Arabidopsis thaliana: one gene and its partners. The protein of the gene in region 4 interacts with the protein of the main gene of each other region in a pairwise test. Each region holds a gene or a part of one and is shown on either strand. Other genes may lie near its edges.

Region 1 (4,572 bases), about 23 Mb from region 4:
ACATTGCTGATGAGTCAATGTCGATATGAACAATTTTAGCTTTCGCTTTCGCTTTGCTAGGGAATGGGAAGGGCGGAAGGCCTTACCTTCAACCCCAAAAGCGAGCAAAAGATCGCAGTTTTCCAAAGCGTCAAGCGTGATCTGCATACACCATCGTCCCCTGCTGCTGAATTCTAAACATTTGCAAGGAAAAATCGTCGTCGTAAAGGTAAGAGCCAAGTCCAAACAATGCACTAGTTACAGGGATTCCTGTAAGTTGGACAAATCTGTTCAAGTCATCGATCGAAGTCAAAGAGCAACCTTTCCCAACATACAAGCAAAGGCTGCTTATAATTTTATCCCACTGTATAAGAAAACTTGAGGCTCAAGTCTTTTTTTTTTTTAATTTTCCAGTGGAAGTAAGACAACACATAGTTCGGGACTAAAGGGCCTGAGGCACGTATTTTCGATTGGTTGGAGTCAAGATGGACTATCTACATTATTCGATTGAGTGTAGAGTTGTGTGCAATAACTAATAAAGTTGAAGTTCCAGTTATTCTTATCAACTCATGGCGCTTGTTTGATAAGATGATCATCATCAAATATTCAAATGGAGGAATTTGAATAGCGAGTAAAGAGCACTAAGGGAAACAGATTGAAAAGAGTTTGAAAAACACCATCATAGTTCTTAAAAATCGTCTTACCAACTCAACAACATAAAATCCCAGATAAATCCAATACAAACGAAGAACATAAATCAGAAAACCAAAATCTTTGCCTAGATATAAGAGACTTTGCGATGACGAGAGCATCATTACTGACTAGCGCCAAGCCACTTGGTGAAGTTATCGAACTCGGTGTAGTCACTGTCTGAAATCATAGTCTGATACCAAGCCTTGCCTGCTGCTTTGATCGCTTGGGCCTCCTCCTACAGTAAAGAAGGAAAAAAATAAGATTAAGAAAAGAGACAACTTTTTGATCAGTCACGCAACCAGTAAAAACTATACAAAATCTCAATAAAGCTGGCGGTTCGAGTACACAAGTGAACTGAATCATGTTAATCATGTCGTTTAGGACAGCAGAAGTGTTAATGAAAATGACACAAACGAATATGAGTAACCGCAAAACCAATCTTAAACAATCAAAGAACCATTCCCAAATAACATCAAAGACCACAACTGATTTGCAATGCATATGACTCCATCAAGGTCAACACAATAAGAATACTTCATAATTTTTTTTTCCAAACTCAAACTAACTGTGAATCATGCATAGCACAGTAATGAACAAACACAATCTAAATCAAAAGCTTTGGAATTTGTGTATGTTATATCACCACCATATGCAATAGACACTCAAGTTATAAAGACAGGCATAGAGAAAAGAGAGCATTGAGTTTACCTTAGTGACGACTTTCCTCTTCTTCTCGAGCTTCTCCTTCTTAGCCTTAACCCTTGAAGCTTCAGCCAACAGAGACATTCTCTTTGCGGTCTTAGCATAAGGATTCAACTTGAACATCACATTAAGGTTCTTCAATGGATTCTTCTTCAGAACCGCTCTCTTGGAACCATCCTTAATCGGGTTCACCACACTCTGTACCTCATCGGAGTTAATAATCCTAGCAAGATCAGCATTCACCATCTTCGCACGAGGCAAGACGTAACCCTTCTTCTTCTCTGATGGTTTCTCAAACGAGCCATAGATAGATTCAAGCTTCTCAAAAGCAGACTTAGTCCAAATCACAAACCTACCAAGGTGACCACCAGGGGCTAATTTCAACAAGTTAAGCCTCTCAACGTGACAAAGCTCAACACCAGGAAGATTCCTAAAAGCTTTCACAATCTTGGCTCCTTCAGTTCCAAACACAACAAGAGGACCTTTCCTAGAAATGTAACGACGATTCCTCATTTTACCTTTACCAGGACGAATTCCAATACTGTTCTTAGCTTTCTCCGCATCGTCGTAAGCACCGATCTGCTTCAATACCTTGATCGCAGCTGATGTCTTCTCCACAGCTTCAGCTGAGTCGCTAACAACAAGAGGCATCTCAGGAACATTCTCGATCTTGTGACCACGAGCCATCACAAGAGCTGGAACAGCAGTAGCAGCGATTGCAGAAACAATCGCGTGCCTCTTCATGTTGACATTGACACGACGGTGCCAGCGTCTCCAGATCTTAGTCGGAGCAAACATACGACCACCACGACACATGTTTCCGAACGCTGCTTGACCGGCACGGTGAGTTCCACCACCAGGAACACGAGGGATACGTGACACGGCTCTTCCGGTTCCCCAGGACTCGGCGGAGGTTTGGTGACCGGCCTTTTTGGAGACTGCGTAAGGCTGACGGCTGTTGTTGGAGATTTGGGCGTGGACGAAGTTGACAATGTCAGGTCGAACTGGAGCAGTCATGACGTCTGGTAAAGTGACGGTGGTGGATTGATCGGTGCTCATGTCACCGTCAAGTCCTTGGACGGTGACAAGAGGTCGTGCGGCGGCTGAGGCAACCATTTTCGATTTTTTGCTGTAAACGAAGGGTTTGGAAGTGAGGCTGTGCGCTTTTAAAGCACATCATTATTACTTAGGGTTTCTTACAAGGGTATTACCGTAAATTGTGGAAATTTATACAGGCCGAAAGGCCCAATGTAGGTCCAGCAGAATTTCAAGTTGCATTTTTTCGGTTTAGCTCTGATTTGGTTCAATTCGTTTATCTGTTCTGGTTTGCTTTGATTTGATAGGATCCACCAATACGGTTCGGTTTCCCGACTATTGTTAACCGGGTTTAGGGATATTGGTTATTGACAATAAGAACAACAAAAAGGCTCGAGACAATAACATGGACGTTGGCATTTACTGTTAGCTGCCTTGGTTTGCTAGCTGTGTTACATTGCTTTTGGTTAAATAGATAACCAAATCAGAGAAAGTACAAAACACAGGAACAAATATCAAAAAGAAAATACCATTGGTAACCATTTTCTAGACACATTGACTCATATATATATATATATACCATTCCCCGGAAAAACTGGTTTTGACCGATACTGCCGTATGTCCCTCTTGTGTGTGACGCCTCAGTTATGTTCTTCTCAGACAACAACCGTGAGAAGCATCTGACACGATACACCTAATGCAGAAATCAAATAGCCATTAGGTAAGAGCCATAATAACTCTTTCGAGAACATGATCAGGCTTATAGCAGCTACGCTGAGATTCTAACAGTTATGGTCAATACAATCCGATTCACAGACAATTCTTACTATCAAGTTTAAGATCATGTGAGACGGTAACTACAGTGAGAGCTGAGAAACATTGAAGCTCTTATGCAGATAATTCTTACTATGAGTCACCAAGAAGATATATCACTTGTTGAGTTCTTCACCACGGATCCTGCACTAACAGCTACGAGCTTAAGTGTTTAGGACCTTCCTCTGCAGCAACAAAGTGTTCAGACTATTTTAAAGTTAGATTGAAATCAGTCCAGAAGTCAGCAGTTGATGTGTCTACATATTTCACAAAGGGCAACAATACTCCTTCAGTCATTGGAATGGTTACAGATGTAACACACTAACAATGAAATATTCTTATTTCTAACAGTTTATCCTTATTTAAATTTGAAGGCAAATAGTGGGACTTTTTCTCTCTCAAGTACAAACAAGAAAAGAAAAAAAGGTGCCTCACATGCTCAACGAGCATGAAAGTTATGATAAAAATTAACACTTACAGCAGATCTGAAGTCAGGGTTTGACAAGTTTACTGTGAGGTTTCTCATCAACAATTATCTATGGCCACTTCTTCACTATCCGTTCCAGCAACCTAAGATCCTCGCCTTTGGGAGCATGGGGATCAAGATTCCTCAGATCTTCGACAAAAAGTTTTGCCTCATCTTTCCTGTTTAGCTTGCAGTATCCATCGACAATGGAGTTGTAGGTGTTCTGGTTTGGTCTACAACCATGCTTGATCATGTACCTAACGACGCCGATGGCCTCCTCAAACATTGAGTCAGCTGCATAAGAACCAATAAACGTATTGTAGGTGATAACATCAGGGACAATCCCTGAATTCCTCATCTCTGAAAATATTCTAGATGCATCTCTCATCCGAGTATTTCTACAATAGGCGTAAATGACTGTGTTGTACGATATGATGTCTGGCTTGATCCCCTTAGCCAGTATTTCCCTCAAGATTTCCTCTGATTTTCCGAAATCTGCAGACCGACTATGCATATACATGAGGCTATTGTAGGTCGCCATGCTTGGTGTGAAACCCCTTTCTTTCATGTAGTCCAAGACTCCGTTCGCCTTTGCCACCATCTGCCTTCTTCCATATATGGAGACCATGGAATTTAATGTGGTTATGTCTGGTGAAAACCCTCTTTCTTTGAGCTCAGAGAATGCACGTTCAGCCTCTGGCAAAAGATCACACTTACTACAAACCAAGACAAGGGTCTTCAAAAGCACAGCTCGAGGCTCGATAACTCCAGAATAAACCTCTTCTGCTAGAGAATGCATCAGACCAATCTCCTTGCCATTTGCATATGCATGAAGTAGAGAGCAGTAAGTTAATTCATTTGGTTTGCACCGACCATCCTCCATC
Region 2 (4,393 bases), on a different chromosome or scaffold from region 4:
TAAAACCTAAAGAGAATGGAGAACCTATCGAGATCAATAAGATTACAAGAACATACAAACCTTTAGTTTAAACACAATGATCGATCACAGAAGAAAGTGCTAGTAGTTGTTACTTTAGTATACGGATCAATTTATAAAACTGGCTGATGATCAAAATGAAGCTTCTAGTTTCACTGTTTCAGTCTTCTTTTGGAGATGGACGGTCATGATTTGTAGATGGAAAAAGAAGGACTCTTGGCGCGCCTTCCAGAAACCATCCATAGTAAAGAAGAATAATACAAATTTATCCAACAGATACACACCACGTGTCATTCTGTATTCCTCGAGTATGTTGTACCAACTAATCAAAGCTTCAAATGATCTGTGTGATTGTAGGAAGAAGCGACGTTCTTTTTATACTCATGCTTTACTATCGAGCACAAAAACGTTAGGGTTGATCGACATTTGAATTGGGTTTGAGCTTCACTATCCACCAAAAAGACTTAAGGGTTGATAGACACACTATGCCTTTAAACAGTAAATCAATCGACATATTGATCAATTGAACTTGATTAATGTTTCTGCTGGGGTAAACCAAAGAAAGCTTCAGCTTGTTTTTAAGTAGGTTCATAACATAACAAGCATCATCATAGGAAACGAAGGAGCAAGAGATAAATAAATGAAACTGATAAAGGCGAAGTAAGAAATGGAGATGTAAAAAAGTGAAACTTGTTCATAATTCAACTTGATATCCAGACACCCAAAGACAAAACAGATTAAAAAAACCAAAATCTTTTGACTAAAATATGGAAAGTGTTCCAAAGCAGACGAGATTATTACTGGCTAGCACCGAGCCATTTGGTGAAGTTATCAAACTCGGTGTAATCACTGTCGGAGATCATAGTCTTGTACCACGACTTGCCTGCTGCTTTGATTGCCAACGCCTCCTCCTGATGTAAGAAAAATAGATATTTCAAAGTGGAGTTAGAAAAGAGGACATATGAAGAACAATTTTCACAAGGGACAAGAAAGTGCTAAGAGATTCAATTGCTTAATAGCTCAACCTAAAATCAATATCAAGACAAAGAATCGTACACAACAGATTTACAAGACAAACTACTAGACCACAATTCAGAACAGAAAAGGTAAGATCTAGTAAAGAAAGACTACTATAGTCATAGACTAAACCAGAGGGGAACAGATTATTGTATAGCTTAACATACACAAACTCAGTCAATTAGAACAATTGCAATATAAGTTAAGTCAAATGAAATGCAACCACAGATCAAAATGTAATCAGTAACTAAACAAAGACAATCCAAAAACGGTTGATAAGAGAACAAGTCAAGTATTGAGATTACCTTGGTAACGGTTTTCCTCTTCTTGGCGAGCTTCTCCTTCTTAGCCTTAACTCTCTGTGCTTCAGCTAACAGTGACATCCTCTTCGCGGTCTTAGCATAAGGATTCAACTTCAACATCACATTGAGATTCTTCAATGGATTCTTCTTAAGAACAGCCCTCTTCGCATCCTTCTTGATCGGATTCACAACACTCTGAATCTCATCTGAATTGATAATCCTGGCAAGATCAGCATTCACCATCTTTGCACGAGGAAGCACATACCCCTTCTTCTTCTCTGATGGCTTCTCAAACGAACCATAGATAGACTCAAGCTTCTCAAAGGCAGACTTGGTCCAGATCACAAACCGACCAAGGTGACCACCAGGAGCAAGCTTCAACAAATTAAGCCTCTCCACATGACAAAGCTCAACACCAGGAAGGTTTCTAAACGCCTTAACTATCTTAGATCCTTCAGTTCCATAAACCACCAGAGGACCTTTCCTAGAAATGTAACGACGGTTCCTCATTTTACCTTTACCAGGACGGATTCCAATGCTGTTCTTTGCCTTCTCAGCATCATCATAAGCACCGATCTGTTTCAAAACCTTGATCGCAGCTGAGGTCTTCTCCACAGCTTCGGCGGAGTCACTCACAACAAGAGGCATCTCAGGAACATTCTCGATCTTGTGACCACGAGCCATCACAAGCGCAGGAACAGCAGTTGCAGCGATAGCTGAGACGATTGCGTGACGCTTCATGTTGACATTGACACGACGGTGCCAGCGGCGCCAGATCTTGGTTGGAGCGAACATACGACCACCACGACACATGTTACCGAACGCAGCTTGACCAGCACGGTGAGTACCACCACCGGGAACACGAGGGATACGAGACACGGCACGTCCGGTTCCCCAGGACTCGGCGGAGGTCTGGTGACCGGCCTTCTTCGATACGGCGTATGGCTGACGGCTGTTGTTGGAGATTTGGGCGTGAACGAAGTTAACGATGTCTGGTCGAACTGGCGCCGTCATGACGTCGGGAAGTACGACGGTGGAGGATTGATCGGTGGACATGTCACCATCCAAGGTTTGGATGGTGACGAGAGGACGAGCAGCGGCGGCGGCCATTTGTCTCGAAATGTTTCTCTCTTCTCTCACTCTCCGTCTCTTTAGACTCTTTGAGAAATTAGGGTTTTCTCTCAGCTGAAGTTTAAGAACTAATATATGCTAGGGTTTCGTTAGGGTTACTGCTGAATTAGTGGGCCTTATAATAAAGCCCAATAAACCCAACTAATTTACCTTTCAGTAAGGGCCCAATATTTAAAGTTACCTCCGCTATAAGAACCGGGCACTGCTTTAGCCTTTAACGAACTAGTGGGCCTAATAAAACCCGACTATTTGTCTCTTAACTAAGAGACAATTGACCTAAGTTTTACCAAATTTAAGAGATTTATCTAATATTTAAATTATATAATTTTTTAAATATTTGTTAAGAGTTTTGCTAAGAGTCTACCATTGTGGATGCTTTTAGAATCATATAACAAACATCGTCAAAGAAAACGGTCGACGAAAAAAATAGATAAAAAGAAAAATGATCAAAGTAATGTACGAAATGGAGCGTTAAAGAGTGAAAATTTGCTTTATAGTTCAAATAATCTTTAGTCTCGATCTTGAATGGCAAAATATTTCAAATCATATTCTTTTCCTAAATATGGAAGTGCTCCTAAGCAGGTGAGATATTACTGATTAGCACTGCCACCGAGTCATTTGGTGAAGTTATCAAACTCGGTGTATTCACTATCGGCTTCGTTTTCTATTAAAATGCACACCTCAAAATATTCAGAAAATCTTTACAGTTTTATCTCATTTTTAATCTAAATCAAGAATCGATAACAATATTTTCGGACCATAATCTGAGCAAAAGATAAAACACGGTAATAGTTCTTTTCGTTTGGTTATATTTTCATGTGAATACTGTAGTCGTTTGGGTTTTTGGTCCAGTCCTTTTAGCTTTCAATGCCTCTCTTCAAGTTGGGTTTGATATCCTTTTATTGGGGTTAGGCCTTTTTAGTTTCAATTTTTGAAATTTTGTAATCACCTAGATAGGTTTAACCCATTTTGTAACGTTTTATCTTATGATAAAAAGTCAATAAACAGAAAGACCTTTGGGGGAAAAAAAAAAAAAATTGTAGTCACAACAAATGAAATCCCAACCCACGCGCTGCAGGTCCTCTCAGTTTTTAATTTATGCAAAAAATCCCCAAAAAGGAAGGTTATATAGTCCATGGATTTTAGCCTCACGTGCTCAACGCGCCTGTGATGCGAGTGGTTTGGGGAATGAACTATAAATAATAGGAAATCATTCATGAGATGAAATCAACGAAATGAATAATTATTTTGAATAGAATAACCTTGCGATGTTGTTTAGAAGCCCATGAGGAAAATATCGATTAATAGTGGACCTAACTAAAGCCCAAATAGCCCAATAACTGGTTTTCACTTTTATCTTTTACCAATAAGGGCCCAACCTTACAGCTTTATTATCTCTGTTACTCGACACTAACGAGACGTTACAACGTTACGGTGTAGAGAGTTTTGATTCTTCTGGTAGCTTTGTCTTCTTCACCGCAACATTTTTAGGGTTATCGTTGAAGCTTTTGTTTGGCGGATGAATTTGATTTGAATTTGGGTTTAAGTTACGGAATTTTCTATCGGGATTTGTTGCGTTTGAGATGATGTTAGAGAAATCTAAGTCCAGGAAGGAAAATGATCGCAAAGATCGTGATCGCAGTAAGAAAGAGAATGGTCGGCGAGATACGACGGAGATGCGCTCGAGAGTTAAGAGATGCGATTCTGAGGAAGAGGAGAGGATACGGATACGGAGGGATAGAAAAAGTAGCGATTTTGAAGAAGAAGAATACGAGAGGGATAGTAAACGCAGAGGGGAGGACAAGGGAAGAGGACGCCGAGAACGTGACAGAGATAGAGGAAAATATCTGAAAAGGGACAGAGAGAGGAGAGAACGTGAGAAAGAAAAGGGTAGGAAGAAACAGAAAAAGGAGAGGTCACGTGAG
Region 3 (6,582 bases), 940 kb from region 4:
GACTGTGAAAGAGACGCAGAAGATGTGAAACCATGTCGCCATTTTTCTTGTATTCTTTCTCTGCTTTTTTTTTGTTATGCTTTTAGGATTCTTCCTCTTGAATTCGTATATATAGCAAATTCTTCAGATAACAATTTGCTATCGTGACGCTCAAGTATAAACTGTTTTTATTTATATATCTATAGTTCGGAAGACAGATAATTTAGAAATAAGTTTGGATAATTGAAAATATATCCGATTTGTTTGCTTCTTGGGCGACACACCAAGCTCCGGAGAAAGTTATACGATCTCTTTGCTACGTTTAGCTTCATTACTCCAAACCACAAACCCACATGAATTTTTGTGACATCATCGAACTTTTGTGATTTTTTTTTATTTTTGAAGATAAAGACAAGTTCAATTATGATGTTATATCTACCAAGTACCACCAACCAATGAAAAGAAATCAAGATTTCAAGTAGAATAAAAGTAGATAAATAAATTACATAATGAAGATTATTCATCCAACTCTTGTGTTACTTAATACTCGTTTCGTTGTTAATCAAAAATTTCATTTGGATTTTAACAAAAATTAACTAGATGCTTTCACATATGGCTTTCGATAGAAACGGTGTCAATAGTAGTATTACAACACACCACAGAAAAAGGGACGATCTATTACAGCGTTTCAAAATTGTGGTTTGTTTGATATTAAGCTTCAGACTGAACGTTTCTGGTCTTGAGACCGAAGAGATTCTTAAGCAAATCCGCCGTGTTTGGAGGAATCTTCGCTGGTCGTGGAGCCATAAAGTTGACAATCTTCTCATGAACATTATACCTGTTTCGATTTTTTACAAGAAAATGATTCAAAAGAGAGAATTATGGGAAGAGAAAACCTCCAAGAGGTGAAACTATGTGTGTTTTATTTACCTGATCTTTCTGCTCTTTGAGGCACGTCGATCCACAACTTTCCTCTTCTTCGTCTGGAACTTCTTCATCTCGTAGAAAGCCGCCTCTGCCAATGGCAAATATTGAGATTTCAGAATATAAAAAAGACTCTTTACACTTGAGTTGTTGGACATAACAATCGCTAGGGGGGGTTTCATATCTAATGATTCTAGGATGTTTTTCTTTACTATACCTGAGGAAGCTGGATCGATAGTCTCGAGAAACTCCTTTAGTAACTGCCTATAGAACTCAGCATCTTCCACAAGTTCAGGGTCTCCTTCTTCTTGTTTTTCCTGGACAAGAAAGAGTACACATGTTAGAGAATGGGTATCAAGATAATCAATGAGATTGATTAAATGTTTATACTCTTTATGGTTAGAGAAAACCGTGATTTTACCTCTGGATTTGGTTCCATGGCTTCCTGAGGGACCTGTGGATGTTTAAATTTAAAGTCAGGAAAAATTGAAGAGAAGCTGATCTATTGACCACCAAAGGCCAAATTCTTAGATGGTTTATGCTTTTATTATCAAAGCAAAAACTTACAGTTCCAAAAACAGCAACAGTAGATCTTGATTGTTGCATCTGTTTAATCATTCTACTTGGATCCCTCATGTAGGAAGCAACCTGTTCACTAACGTTCTGGTTTTGAAAATTAATTTAAAGTTAGATTCCTGATTGATCCCCAGATAAGAGCAAAATCATCTTCGGAGTTTGCTTTCTATACCTGGTTAAAGGCGTGGAGCTTTCCTTTAATAGCAGCTGCACCAGTTGTGACTTGTGTTTTTCTCTGCCATTTGTCCACAGCCTTGTTTCGGAACACAGACATTCTACATAGCAAATACCAAATTTGTGTTAACGATGAAACATAAATGGTTATGAGACTGGTCTCCAAATGAAGTCAATCATGCTTTACTAAACAGAATTCTTTTGATTGGACAGAACTTTAAAGCTGGACAGTTGAACATTTAGTCTTGAATACCTTTTCTGCAAGTCAGATATTCGCTGCCATTCATCGCTATCTTCTGCATCTGATTTATTGGATTCTTCACTAGCTGTTGCTGACAGATAGAAAAAGAAAGGAGATGTTATATTGACCCTCGCTTATAGTGATGATAATTATGTTATCTGTTAATATGGCATACCATTCACTTGTTGATCAACCGAGGGGTTCTTCTCAAACAAAGCCTGTAGAAATCCATATTTAGATAATAATAATAAAAGTCAACAAACGTGGCAGAGCGACAAAACACTAAGAGACAGCATACAATTACTGAATCAAGCCTATGCATACATACCTCTTGCAACTCCAAGAGGGAATCTAATGTCTTCTTAGATGAAGTAACTAGATCTGTATATGCTGTTGAGACATCCTCATCTTCTGAACAAAATAACGATTTCACAGGCTCCTGAAAAGGGTACCTTCTGTCATAAAGTATGATGAAACAAACAACCATAAATAGAAGAGGAGAAGAGCATAGCTTACCTGTGGTAATCTGTTTGAACGATCAAATGCTTTCTGAAGTAAGAATCTGAACTCCAGAATCTTATCCCAAAGAGCCTTTACATAGAGCACAAAGAAAGAATTGTCAAAAATTCGCTCTAGATCAACTTCATTAACATAAAATAGGAATATACAACTGCAACTGATTTCTAGTTAGACTACTTCGCAAACCGCAGAACAAGGTCATACCTTCTGATTCTTCACCGCTTGACCTTTAACAGCATCTTCACCCTTATCACGCTTCAAGTTCTTCAATATATCCCTATACCAGGAACACGCATATTACACAAAGAACATTCTTTTGCCTCTCAATCGTTCATTTAAAATTAAATGATGCAACCGAATTAAGACAGTATCTGACAAAAACTTTTGGCAAAAGTCTGTTCTTTTCCTTTTAAACGTATATATTTTCTACTAATCACGAATAAATCCAATTGCTATAATGAGTTCGAACCTACTTCTAAATCTAGCCAACATCCTTGCTGATCTAGATTAAACAGTTGAAACTTTAATACGACTATCTACCGTTTCTAGAAAGAAACACATACAAGAATTCACTATCTTAGAAATAACAGTATTTAAAAATGATTAGTTCAAATGAAATCTTACTGCTCTTGTGAACGAAGCTCCTTGACCTCTTTCTCAAGCTCTTCCATCTGAGCATCTTTATTGTCATCATTACCTTCATCGCCACTCTCACTCTCTTTATCATTTCCATCTTCAAAGTCCTCGCTTTCTCCATCCTCGTCTTCCTTGTTCTCTCCTTCATCATCTTCCTCGCTATCTCCTTCATCATCTTCCTCGGTATCTCCTTCATCGTCTTCCTCACTCTCTCCCTCATCATCTTCCATGCTATCTACTTCATCATCCTCTATCCCATCAGGTAATTGATCATCTTCATTGTCGCTTTCGGCCTATAATATAGAGAACCCTCAACCAAATAAATTCACCTATACCATCTAAATAACTTAAACGAGACAAAAGCAACATAAACATACCTTAAGGTTTTCTTGGTCGCTTATGTCTTCCGATTCACTGTCAAGTCTTGCTCTTTTAGACCTCTTTGACCCCCCAGCCATTTTAACAACTTTTAATGCTGCAATCACGAAAAACTAACTCAATTGAGGAAGGAGAAACTATTATACAGTGGATTAAGCAATAAAAATATTGAAACAAATAAAGAAGGACCAAATATAGAGCAACAATGAGGTAACCATACCATCAAACAAGCTTTGTCAAAAGCTTCAAACATAAAAAAAAAAAAAAAAAAAAAAAAAAAAAAAAAAAACAGAGACCTATAGATAATCTCATAAAAACAGCTCACGTGGATCAGTCAAAGGGTCTTTGATCAGTGCAGAATCACGAGGGTAGCTAATTGGTGATAAGGAAGCACAAGGAGACAAATGTATATAGGGAGAATTCTAGATTGACAATCAATGATAGAAAGCAACCCCAAGCCTTTAAAAATCGACCCATCAGATTGCACACACAAATCAGGTTCATTGTTGGAGAGGTTGCGGAGCCACAGATGCCATGGCTCAAGACATGGACAAGGGCCCTCTCCTATAAAGTTCAAAGATTGACTCCTCGTAACTAAATTAAACATCAAAAGCCACACACTTTACTCATAACCTGCTCAGACCTTTTACTTTAACATTCATCATCTCCACCACAATGTCACAAACAGATTACAAAGAACAACATTCTAGAGCTAACACAAGTTTAAAGCAAGAAAACTTTTGAATCAAACTAGTTTATGAGTTCGAATGTTTCAGGAAGAGAAACGATTAAATGAAAAAGGGAGAGACTTTGAGCAGATACGCAAGAGAAAGCAGTGAATTTTGAAAATTAAAAGGAATCATACAAGCAGAGGAGCTTACCTAAAAGCTCTGTAGAAGCTGAGACGCAAATAGGAGAGGTTATATCTTCGACTTGGAATCGCAGAAACTGGGAATCGTCTCAAGCACAAAGCTGTCTACGAGCAGAGGAAAAGTAAAAGTAAGAAGAAGCTCTCAACCAACTCTGGAAATATTAAAACCCTAGAGGTTTCGCTTAACCCATGAACCGGCCGGTTCAACCAAAAATCCGGTTTAAATGTTTTAATTTTGGTTTGATAGGACCAGATTATACGATTCGGTCGGTCGGACCTGGGATTATAAACCCTTGATCCTAATTCCTAAATATGGACCATGAATGATTACATTGTTTTGTATGTTTGGAAAGCTACAAAATTTTGCTTGTTATAAAATTCATCTTTTTGTGCTTAATTGTTTCTTGATCTCTTTAGATGCAACATTTCCGGATTCCACTCTTTTTAACCTATAAAAGTAAATTAGATTCATTCATAATTTCTCCATTAGAAGAAATTTTAGGTAGTACTGAACTATTGTATTAAAGGGCTTTTTGTTAAAGAGGTTCAAGTAGAGAGATTAGTGATGTAGACCACCCACTAGCCATTTTTTGTCTTTTTAAGTTGAGCTTTTATCATTAACACAATTTCAATGTATTATTAGGATTTTCATTCAACGAAAAATACAAAAAGTTCAATTGCTTTCGCCTCTACCGTCTATTTAAAGATAATTGTGACATTTCTTCTTCTCTCTTTGTAATGAAAGATTTTGCTTGAACTTATCCTTGCTCAAAAACAAAAGACTCTTCACTCTTGTTAAAGTGTGAATCTAGTCAACATCTTCATAACTTAAGGAAGTAATCAAAATCATTGCTAATTAATATATTTTGTCGGCAATGAAATTATACTGTAGGATTAACCAAATGTGAATTCCAAGATTTGCATTAATTAAAATTTCTGGTATATTTGACTTTACAATGTGGAAAAAAAAGAGACTAAAATAAAGAAAAGCAGAAACAGAGGAAGAAGAAAAAGTTTTGCAGATCCTGTGATTGTTCTTTACTGTGTGTGTACCTTTGCTCTTCTTTGAAGTGAAAGCTACTTGAGATTATCCTTAAAGAATCAATAATCTCATAAAGTTTTTCACTTTTTTTGTATAAGTAATAATTACATCAACCAACACAAGAGAGTCACAAGATTTCTTGCAAGTTCTTTGATCCTTTGATGTGTATCTTTGTGTTCTCTGTTTCGCTGATTTGGATCTTGATTGAATACTCGTCTTCTCTACCGATATTTTGATCTTCCTCGTTTTTGATGCAGCTCTGGTAAAAGAGGAAGTTGACTATGGTGTCAAGAACCAAGAAGAGAGCGTATAAGTAAGCTATGAAGGTTCCTTCAAGAGCTATGGATATGATATCTCTGTCTCCATTGTAATAAGATCTCATGACTCGGTACTGAAACAAGGCTTCGACTCCTGCTAAGCCGAGATTGGTAGGCAGAGCAAGAGCCATTGCTGTTGAATTTCTTCCGCGAATCAGAAGACACGCCTTGAGGATGTTTGTGTATCCTCCCGAGGAAGAAGAAGGTGATGAAACCAAGGCTAGATTAGAGATGACAAAGGCGTTTGCGATGATAATTGAGTAGATGATTGCTGAGGATAGGGAGAGGAAAGTGTAGAAGTTTCTTGAAGAGAATCCAAAGGCTTCAAGGGTATTGTATGCTAAGAAAAACAGAGCAAAAGCAGAGGCGTTTGCAGAGAGAAGGAAGAAGAAGTTGCAAACGTAAGTTTTGAGAAGCCGGAGGTAGAAAACAGAGGAGGAATCTGCAGAGTGATTGTTTGATAGAAGTTTGATGACGTAAGCTTTGGATAAAAGGAGGAATGTGAGGGAGAAAGGAAGAGTGAATAAAGAGGAAGATAGGGTTTGTGAGAGTTTAAGGCTTAAGATGTTGAAGAAGTCATGAGAAGAAGAGAAACCCGCTCCGCGGAAGAGCATGTTAAGCCTCATGTGAAGGGTGGAAGAGGAAGAAGAGAAGAAAGGCTGAGAGAGGAGGAGACCGGCGGAGAAAGGGAGGGCCACGGCGGCTGCGGTGGTGACACGGTGGTAGTTTTGGAGGAAAGTGTGAATTGACCTTCTCATGATCTTGCTTGGATCCTCCATTGTCTTCTTCATTCTAGTTTTTGCTATTTTCTTTTCTTTGGAGAAGTTTGAATATGTGTGTTTCTTGAATGATCCACCAAATCTTGAAAGGGTTTTCTCAATGCAGGTCATCTATATATATGTATATAAAATATGTAATGATTTTT
Region 4 (5,974 bases):
ACAGTTTTTCATCACAACTGTAACAACCAGCTGGTGAGTACAGAATCATCTGAATTTCAAACACATAAAGCCAGTTTCTTATCTTTTACTTTCAAGTTGTTTGACAATTGTGTGGGCAGGTTACTACTTTCTAAGCTTAAGAGTTTCAATTATGGATAGAATTGTCGATATGTTGTTTCCGTCTGCTGATTAGAAAGTTTGCAGGTTGGATGGGCGACATGTGGTATTCGGGAAGGTAGTGACAGGAATGGATGTGGTGTACAAAGTCGAAGCTGAAGGAAATCAGAGTGGAACTCCTAAGAGTAAAGTGGTGATTGTAGACAGTGGTGAGCTTCCCCTGTAACTCAACAACTCTAGTTTTCTCCATCTGATCATCCATTGATGTGAGCTCTAGTGTGCTTGATGACTTTTGTGTTAAAACGAGTGTCTTGGTTACTTTATGAAAGATTCTACCGGCTTTATTTCTTTCGTCTGCTTTCTAGCTCGAGCTATGTCTGACTTTATACACAAATGTCTTTCAGTAGCAAAAATTCTGCACTTATGCCGTTTTGCATTGTCAACATTTGTAGAATTTATAGAAGTTACACGATAATATATATATCAGTAAACTCCTAAAGAAGAGTTAGCGAAAAATATACATTCTGTCTGTGTCAGACAAAGTGTTTTCAGAACTTAAATAACGTGAAATACGGAAAGGAAAAAGAAGGAAGCTAAGTTTTGCCCAACATTTACTTAACAACAGAGAGCTAGCATCAGATATAGACAAAATCGACATAAATTTTAAGATCTAAAGCTAAAACCTGACTTTAGTTTTAGTTATCACTTATTCATCAGAGTCACTCTCTGTGTCTAAGAAACTGAACTCTCTACTACCTCCGTCAAGCTTGATCAGCAGTGTCCCTCTGTTCTCTTCACAATACCTAACTCCTTCTCTTTCTAGCAGCTTTACCACCTGATCATATCCATAAATAACAATCATATACCATGACTGCAATACTAAATTCTTGTCTCCGGTTTTGCTGTGAAAGGGCGTTGAAGAAACTTACTGATTGTTTCACCTTAGACTTCCCAAACCCAGAAGCTCCACATCCTGTGATCACTCGTAGAGTCTGAATGGCTGGATGATTTCACAATTGTTAGGAGGAAGGTATTATCTCGGGTTTTATGATGACAAGATCTGACTATGATGATCTACTAAAGAAGAAAAGACTTATAATTGAGTTTGCTAAGTACTCACAAGGAACATATGATCCAAATAAGAGATGTAGCTTCAGTAGCTTCATTGCTGGTTTAACATGCTGACCATGCAGATCAATGGTTACCACATTCTCTATACCTTTGTTTCTGCATAGTCATAAACAATGGCTTAGTCCACCACAAAATGTTTAAGCGCATCAGCATACTTTGATAATGCATCAAAACAGCTAACCTTGCAACGAATATATCTTGGCTTGCCCTCTCATCAGCCCGTTGAGCTTGTTTAGATGCCACTCTTCCCTAAAAGAAAAACAACACAAGTTTCTGTCATACTGTCAAACAAAATGCCATGATACCATGATATATGTAAACCGTGATATGCACCTTGTCAGAAAGGTAAGCCGCATGAGCCCTCCCTCCTTTCGAATATGCTTCGGCAGCCTTAAACCAATTAATAAATGCATTAGTTGAGGAGTCTACCAGAGCCAGATATATGGAAGCAAGTAAAACTAACTTTTTGATAGTAGGACTTCGTAACATTCCACTGGTCATTTGCACCTTTTCTAAGTTCATGATAACTGTCATCCTTCACTGCAACACACGTACTGATTGATTGGTAATGCAATTCATGAGTAAGAAAGATTGATTCAAGAGTTGCAACACAAACAAGCAGTCAAAACTTCAGATGTTTATGCCAATGACACCAAAGCAAAAATTGCCAAGTGTTTCATCAGGTAAAACAACATACATCAGAAGCTCGAAGCCGGCAAACTCATGGCAAATTGAGCATGCTATTTGCAGCTATATACGCAAATACTAAAATCAAGAAACCATAGTAAAGTACCAAACGTATTAGGGTGAGGCTCTTCCCCACTAGATGAAGAAGCATCAATGCCAAGTGACTGCATTTTCTTTGCCACATTCCTCCAACTCGTTGTCTTTGATTCATGTTTAGGATTCTGGCGAATGTTGAACAGAGACTCCAACACTTTTTGTGGAAGACCAAGCTCATCAATTCCTTGGGTAGTTGCAAAAGGATCTTGAGAACTCATGAGAGCTTTTGCGTAGTCCCTACCATTCAGACAAAGAAAAGAAAAAAAGGCCAGATATTTAGTTTTGACCTCGTCCACAATGTTGAAATTAAGAAATCATAATGTAAGTTTTGGCGGTCTCATGAGTAATTTAGATATCATGTGTTCATGAACTGAATCCTCCACCATGAAATAGTTCGTTTGTTGTTCTTTCATAGAAGAGGATAAGGACTAATTAAAAGATAAGGAGAGGTTGCAGAGAGCTCGTTATCTTGTAACTAACGTGTAAATCAACTCTGATAATTCCAAAATCAGTGAATTGCAATAACAAGATGAAAGCCTAAGAAGCAAATAGAAGTACCTTTGACTATAGTCTCCACCCCAGAAAAGTTCACAATCAGAAGTATCAGTATCAAAAGATGACTCTGCCAGCTGTTAAATAATGTCAGGAGATTGCACTTTATTTTATCGTGTAAGAAAACAAAATAAACAGATCTATGAAGATTAACAAAAAAAACAATCACTTACACTATCGCTGACTCCTATGCCGAAACATTTACCACTCAATGAATCATCAGTTGATGAAGAAGACATGTCAAGCAAGACATTCAAAGCCTAAGAAGAAAACGCTATTAAGCTTTAAAATAAATAGTCGGGCAAGTATCAGCATATTTCAGGAGCTTCCCTGTCAATATACTAAATACTTCCCCATGTAAGTTTGAAGACAATCTCTGCTTACCATGTCGACATCATAGCCACATTGACCTACAAAAAATAGATACTTCCATGTCAATTCATCGAACAATCTAGTCTCTCCTCATAACATTATTACGGCTATATTTCGAATATCGCGGACACATTAAAACGTAATCCTATAACTATTAAGGATCATACTTTTCTACTAACATCTTCTCCCATGGAAAAATTAACTGACTAAGAAGAAGAAATACTCACACAAAACATCTCTAACAACAGCCATGCTAAGCTCGCAATCATCTCCAAGCATTGAACTTAAGAACTGTTCAGCTTTCTCTCTATCCGCAGCTTTTTTCCCGTTCCCACAGAGCTCTTTAGACCGTTCCATCATAGGAAACTCTTTTCGCACAGGGTTTGGCTTCAAGTAATCCTTCGCAATCACAGAAGAAACCATCCCTGTAGCAGCAATAACTCTACTCTGCTTGCTTCCCTTAAACCATCTATCTCTAGTCAAATCTTCGCTACAGCTAGAACTTGACCCTGCCCCATACTCAGAGGTAGACGCTGTTTCCTGACCCGAAGAACCACTCGCCACCGAACTCGTCGACGGATCATCACCGCTTTCCACCAGATCCGATAAAATCTCAGCGGCTTTGTTCAGATCTCCGCCTGCTTCCTTATAAGCAGCCATCGCTTCCTCCATTGAAACCGAGCAAAAGGCTTCCATTAACGATTCGATAAAATTTTTTCCAACGTTTTCTATCTCCCTCTTTCCTTCACCGTCCTTCCTCTCTTCCTCCACATCTTTTTTGTTCCCGTCCGACGTCGTTCCATCACCGGAAGGTTTCGCGGCGCAGGATCGCTTCTTCTTCTTCTTATGCTGGTTCTTCTGCTTCATTATCGTACAATTATAGATGAAATCGTGTCAACGCCGCTTCAATAGAATCTCTTCCGATCTGCAGAAGAAACTTAAACCCAGATTTCCGACGAGAAGCGTCGGAGAGAGGGAAGAGGCGTTTTAACCGTAAATCAGGAGTTAGTAATGGAGATGCCAATATCAGAGGAAATTTTTTGCTCGTCCAGACTTTTGATTGGGAATCGGAATCGCCACGTCAATCCACGCGCCTGATCGTGACCACGTTTTAAATCCACGCGCACGAATCAAACACCGAACACGGTTTCCTCCTGATTGTACATATATTGAACCGGTTCAACTATGCACCAGTCAAAATTAGATCTCCCACGTTGACTTTCGTAATTTTATCTCAGATTTGTTTTTGGTTTTTATATTAACTAGATAATGTGGCAACATGCGAATAGCAAATCATCTTATCCAAAACTTTTAAAACAAAATTTGACATCTTCATTTCGAATTTTGAAACGCGGAGTTGATAAACAAACTTTGCGGGAACGACCAGAAAGAGCGTTTGAAGACGCTGGTCAACGCGTTTTATACATTAAAATTTCCAAAATTCATCAACGTGTTGAAGCAAGCTTACACAACTCAGAAGAGCTTTGTTAGTAAAAAAAAGGTGATTCAAGATTCGTATTCACAGGGACCGATCATCACAAGAGTGACCATTGACCAATAACTTTGGTTGAAGTTGAGAGTCTACGCATGAAAACCGAGCTGGACTTAGACGCTCATGGAACTCGTTGTGATCGTTGTTATGGCTGCTAGATATGTTACACTGCTTCTTCCTTCTCTGTACCTCATCCTTGACTTTCTGCAAATCACAAAGACATATGTCACATAGAAATAACCGATGAAAGGGATGAATCCTTGTGCAGTGCAAACACAAACGCTATAAATCTTCTAATTTGCTTAATGTTCACTTGCACTAGCCAATGGTTCAATTATTATCCAATAACGCCCTCATTTCAACAGATACAACTACAAGAGATACACAGAAACACTCGCAAATACATCAAGAGATCCATACTTTTGAATTCTCTAATTGCTTAACCACATTGTTCGGTGAATGCTTAAACAACACTTTTTCCTGCATCTACCCTATGTTGAATGAAACTGCTCCTAGATTAACAATGAAGTAAAACAAGAAAAGACTCTCTCAGCAGCTGTGACTCGACAGAATCTCAAACAACAACTGTGAAGATTTGACACATTTTCAGATTGGAAACCTATCAACATCAAATACAGATTCTAGTTCACCCGCAAGATATAGGTTTGGCTGTATTGAAAGTAAGCTGCAAGATGTAACAGAGTTCTTTTGCTAGGATTATGTTAAAGACATTTGCATATCACTATCATCGGCTCTAAAAGTTCTTACTACTGTCTATTAGATTTGCAAATCTCTCACAGCATGCAATTCAGTAAGCTAATACGAGACCAAAAAACAAACCTGAAGCATCATCAAATCGAACTTTGGCTGACCAATATGCTCTACAGTGATGGAACCAAAGAGGTTCCCTAACAATGCAGCATCAGGAACAGTCAAACCTTCAACAAGCCCAACAATCAAACCTCCGAGAAAGCTGTCTCCGGCACCGGTAGGATCCACCTGCTTCGCCAAGAACGGAGGAACCGTCATTTCATCATCCTTATGATAAATCCTACACCCTTTTTCACCATTAGTCACCACCACACAACACAAGTGCTTCATTTGTTCAACATCCATGAAAAGAGCTTCGTCTGACGAAGCTTTCAAGAATCCAATTCGATGCAAGATGTGATAAAATCCACTTTCTTTCAAATCAACAAGCTTCACAGCTCCGTCAACAGGATCAAAAACCCTAATCAAAGCTTGAATATCCACAGCAACAACGTCACAGATCTCCACCATTTTCTCAAGCGTCTCCGGTAAAATCTCGCCGCCGACTCCAACGGCCATTCCGAAATCAAATCTCGAATCGGGTATATCCGAAGGAAGAATCGGATCACATGCAGAGACTCTTTTCAACACCCGATCAGCATGACCGATCCCATCGATTCCCAGATCGAAATACGCCTCGAAAACTGTTGTTTCCTTCTCCGGAGCCACGATCGGAGAGTGGGTGACCTCGTATCTGAAGTCGTGTCCTACTTTGGA

The links.
Region 1: the proteins of AT5G58720 (region 4) and AT5G02870 interact in a two-hybrid assay, tested with the Arabidopsis thaliana proteins (one large-scale study listed by BioGRID).
Region 2: the proteins of AT5G58720 (region 4) and AT3G09630 interact in a two-hybrid assay, tested with the Arabidopsis thaliana proteins (one large-scale study listed by BioGRID).
Region 3: the proteins of AT5G58720 (region 4) and AT5G61330 interact in a two-hybrid assay, tested with the Arabidopsis thaliana proteins (one large-scale study listed by BioGRID).

What each region holds. Positions count from the first base shown.
Region 1 is NC_003076.8:655,748-660,319, reverse strand, and holds AT5G02870 (Ribosomal protein L4/L1 family), read right to left. Parts: upstream 2,646-4,572; 5' UTR 2,491-2,645; coding exon 1,381-2,490; intron 908-1,380; coding exon 794-907; 3' UTR 520-793; downstream 1-519. Other genes in the region: AT5G02860 (Pentatricopeptide repeat (PPR) superfamily protein), read right to left, coding at 3,759-4,572.
Region 2 is NC_003074.8:2,951,867-2,956,259, reverse strand, and holds AT3G09630 (Ribosomal protein L4/L1 family), read right to left. Parts: upstream 2,568-4,393; 5' UTR 2,448-2,567; coding exon 1,341-2,447; intron 930-1,340; coding exon 816-929; 3' UTR 522-815; downstream 1-521. Other genes in the region: AT3G09620 (P-loop containing nucleoside triphosphate hydrolases superfamily protein), read left to right, coding at 4,052-4,393.
Region 3 is NC_003076.8:24,656,597-24,663,178, forward strand, and holds AT5G61330 (rRNA processing protein-like protein), read right to left. Parts: upstream 4,646-6,582; 5' UTR 3,740-4,645; coding exon 3,724-3,739; intron 3,636-3,723; exon of another isoform or gene 3,525-3,635; coding exon 3,427-3,524; intron 3,343-3,426; coding exon 3,038-3,342; intron 2,691-3,037; coding exon 2,618-2,690; intron 2,486-2,617; coding exon 2,411-2,485; intron 2,334-2,410; coding exon 2,223-2,333; intron 2,113-2,222; coding exon 2,070-2,112; intron 1,986-2,069; coding exon 1,907-1,985; intron 1,755-1,906; coding exon 1,652-1,754; intron 1,567-1,651; coding exon 1,471-1,566; intron 1,358-1,470; coding exon 1,325-1,357; intron 1,221-1,324; coding exon 1,121-1,220; intron 995-1,120; coding exon 910-994; intron 818-909; coding exon 691-817; 3' UTR 501-690; downstream 1-500. Other genes in the region: CYP89A3 (cytochrome P450, family 89, subfamily A, polypeptide 3), read right to left, coding at 1-42; AT5G61340 (uncharacterized protein), read right to left, coding at 5,468-6,547.
Region 4 is NC_003076.8:23,719,153-23,725,126, forward strand, and holds AT5G58720 (smr (Small MutS Related) domain-containing protein), read right to left. Parts: upstream 4,024-5,974; 5' UTR 3,823-4,023; coding exon 3,183-3,822; intron 2,994-3,182; coding exon 2,968-2,993; intron 2,844-2,967; coding exon 2,757-2,843; intron 2,661-2,756; coding exon 2,590-2,660; intron 2,269-2,589; coding exon 2,042-2,268; intron 1,789-2,041; coding exon 1,712-1,788; intron 1,639-1,711; coding exon 1,582-1,638; intron 1,498-1,581; coding exon 1,430-1,497; intron 1,345-1,429; coding exon 1,238-1,344; coding exon of another isoform or gene 1,182-1,237; exon of another isoform or gene 1,118-1,181; coding exon 1,047-1,117; coding exon of another isoform or gene 957-1,046; exon of another isoform or gene 953-956; coding exon 824-952; 3' UTR 543-823; downstream 1-542. Other genes in the region: ROC7 (rotamase CYP 7), read left to right, coding at 1-33, 205-343; Mik (pfkB-like carbohydrate kinase family protein), read right to left, coding at 4,475-4,651, 5,288-5,974.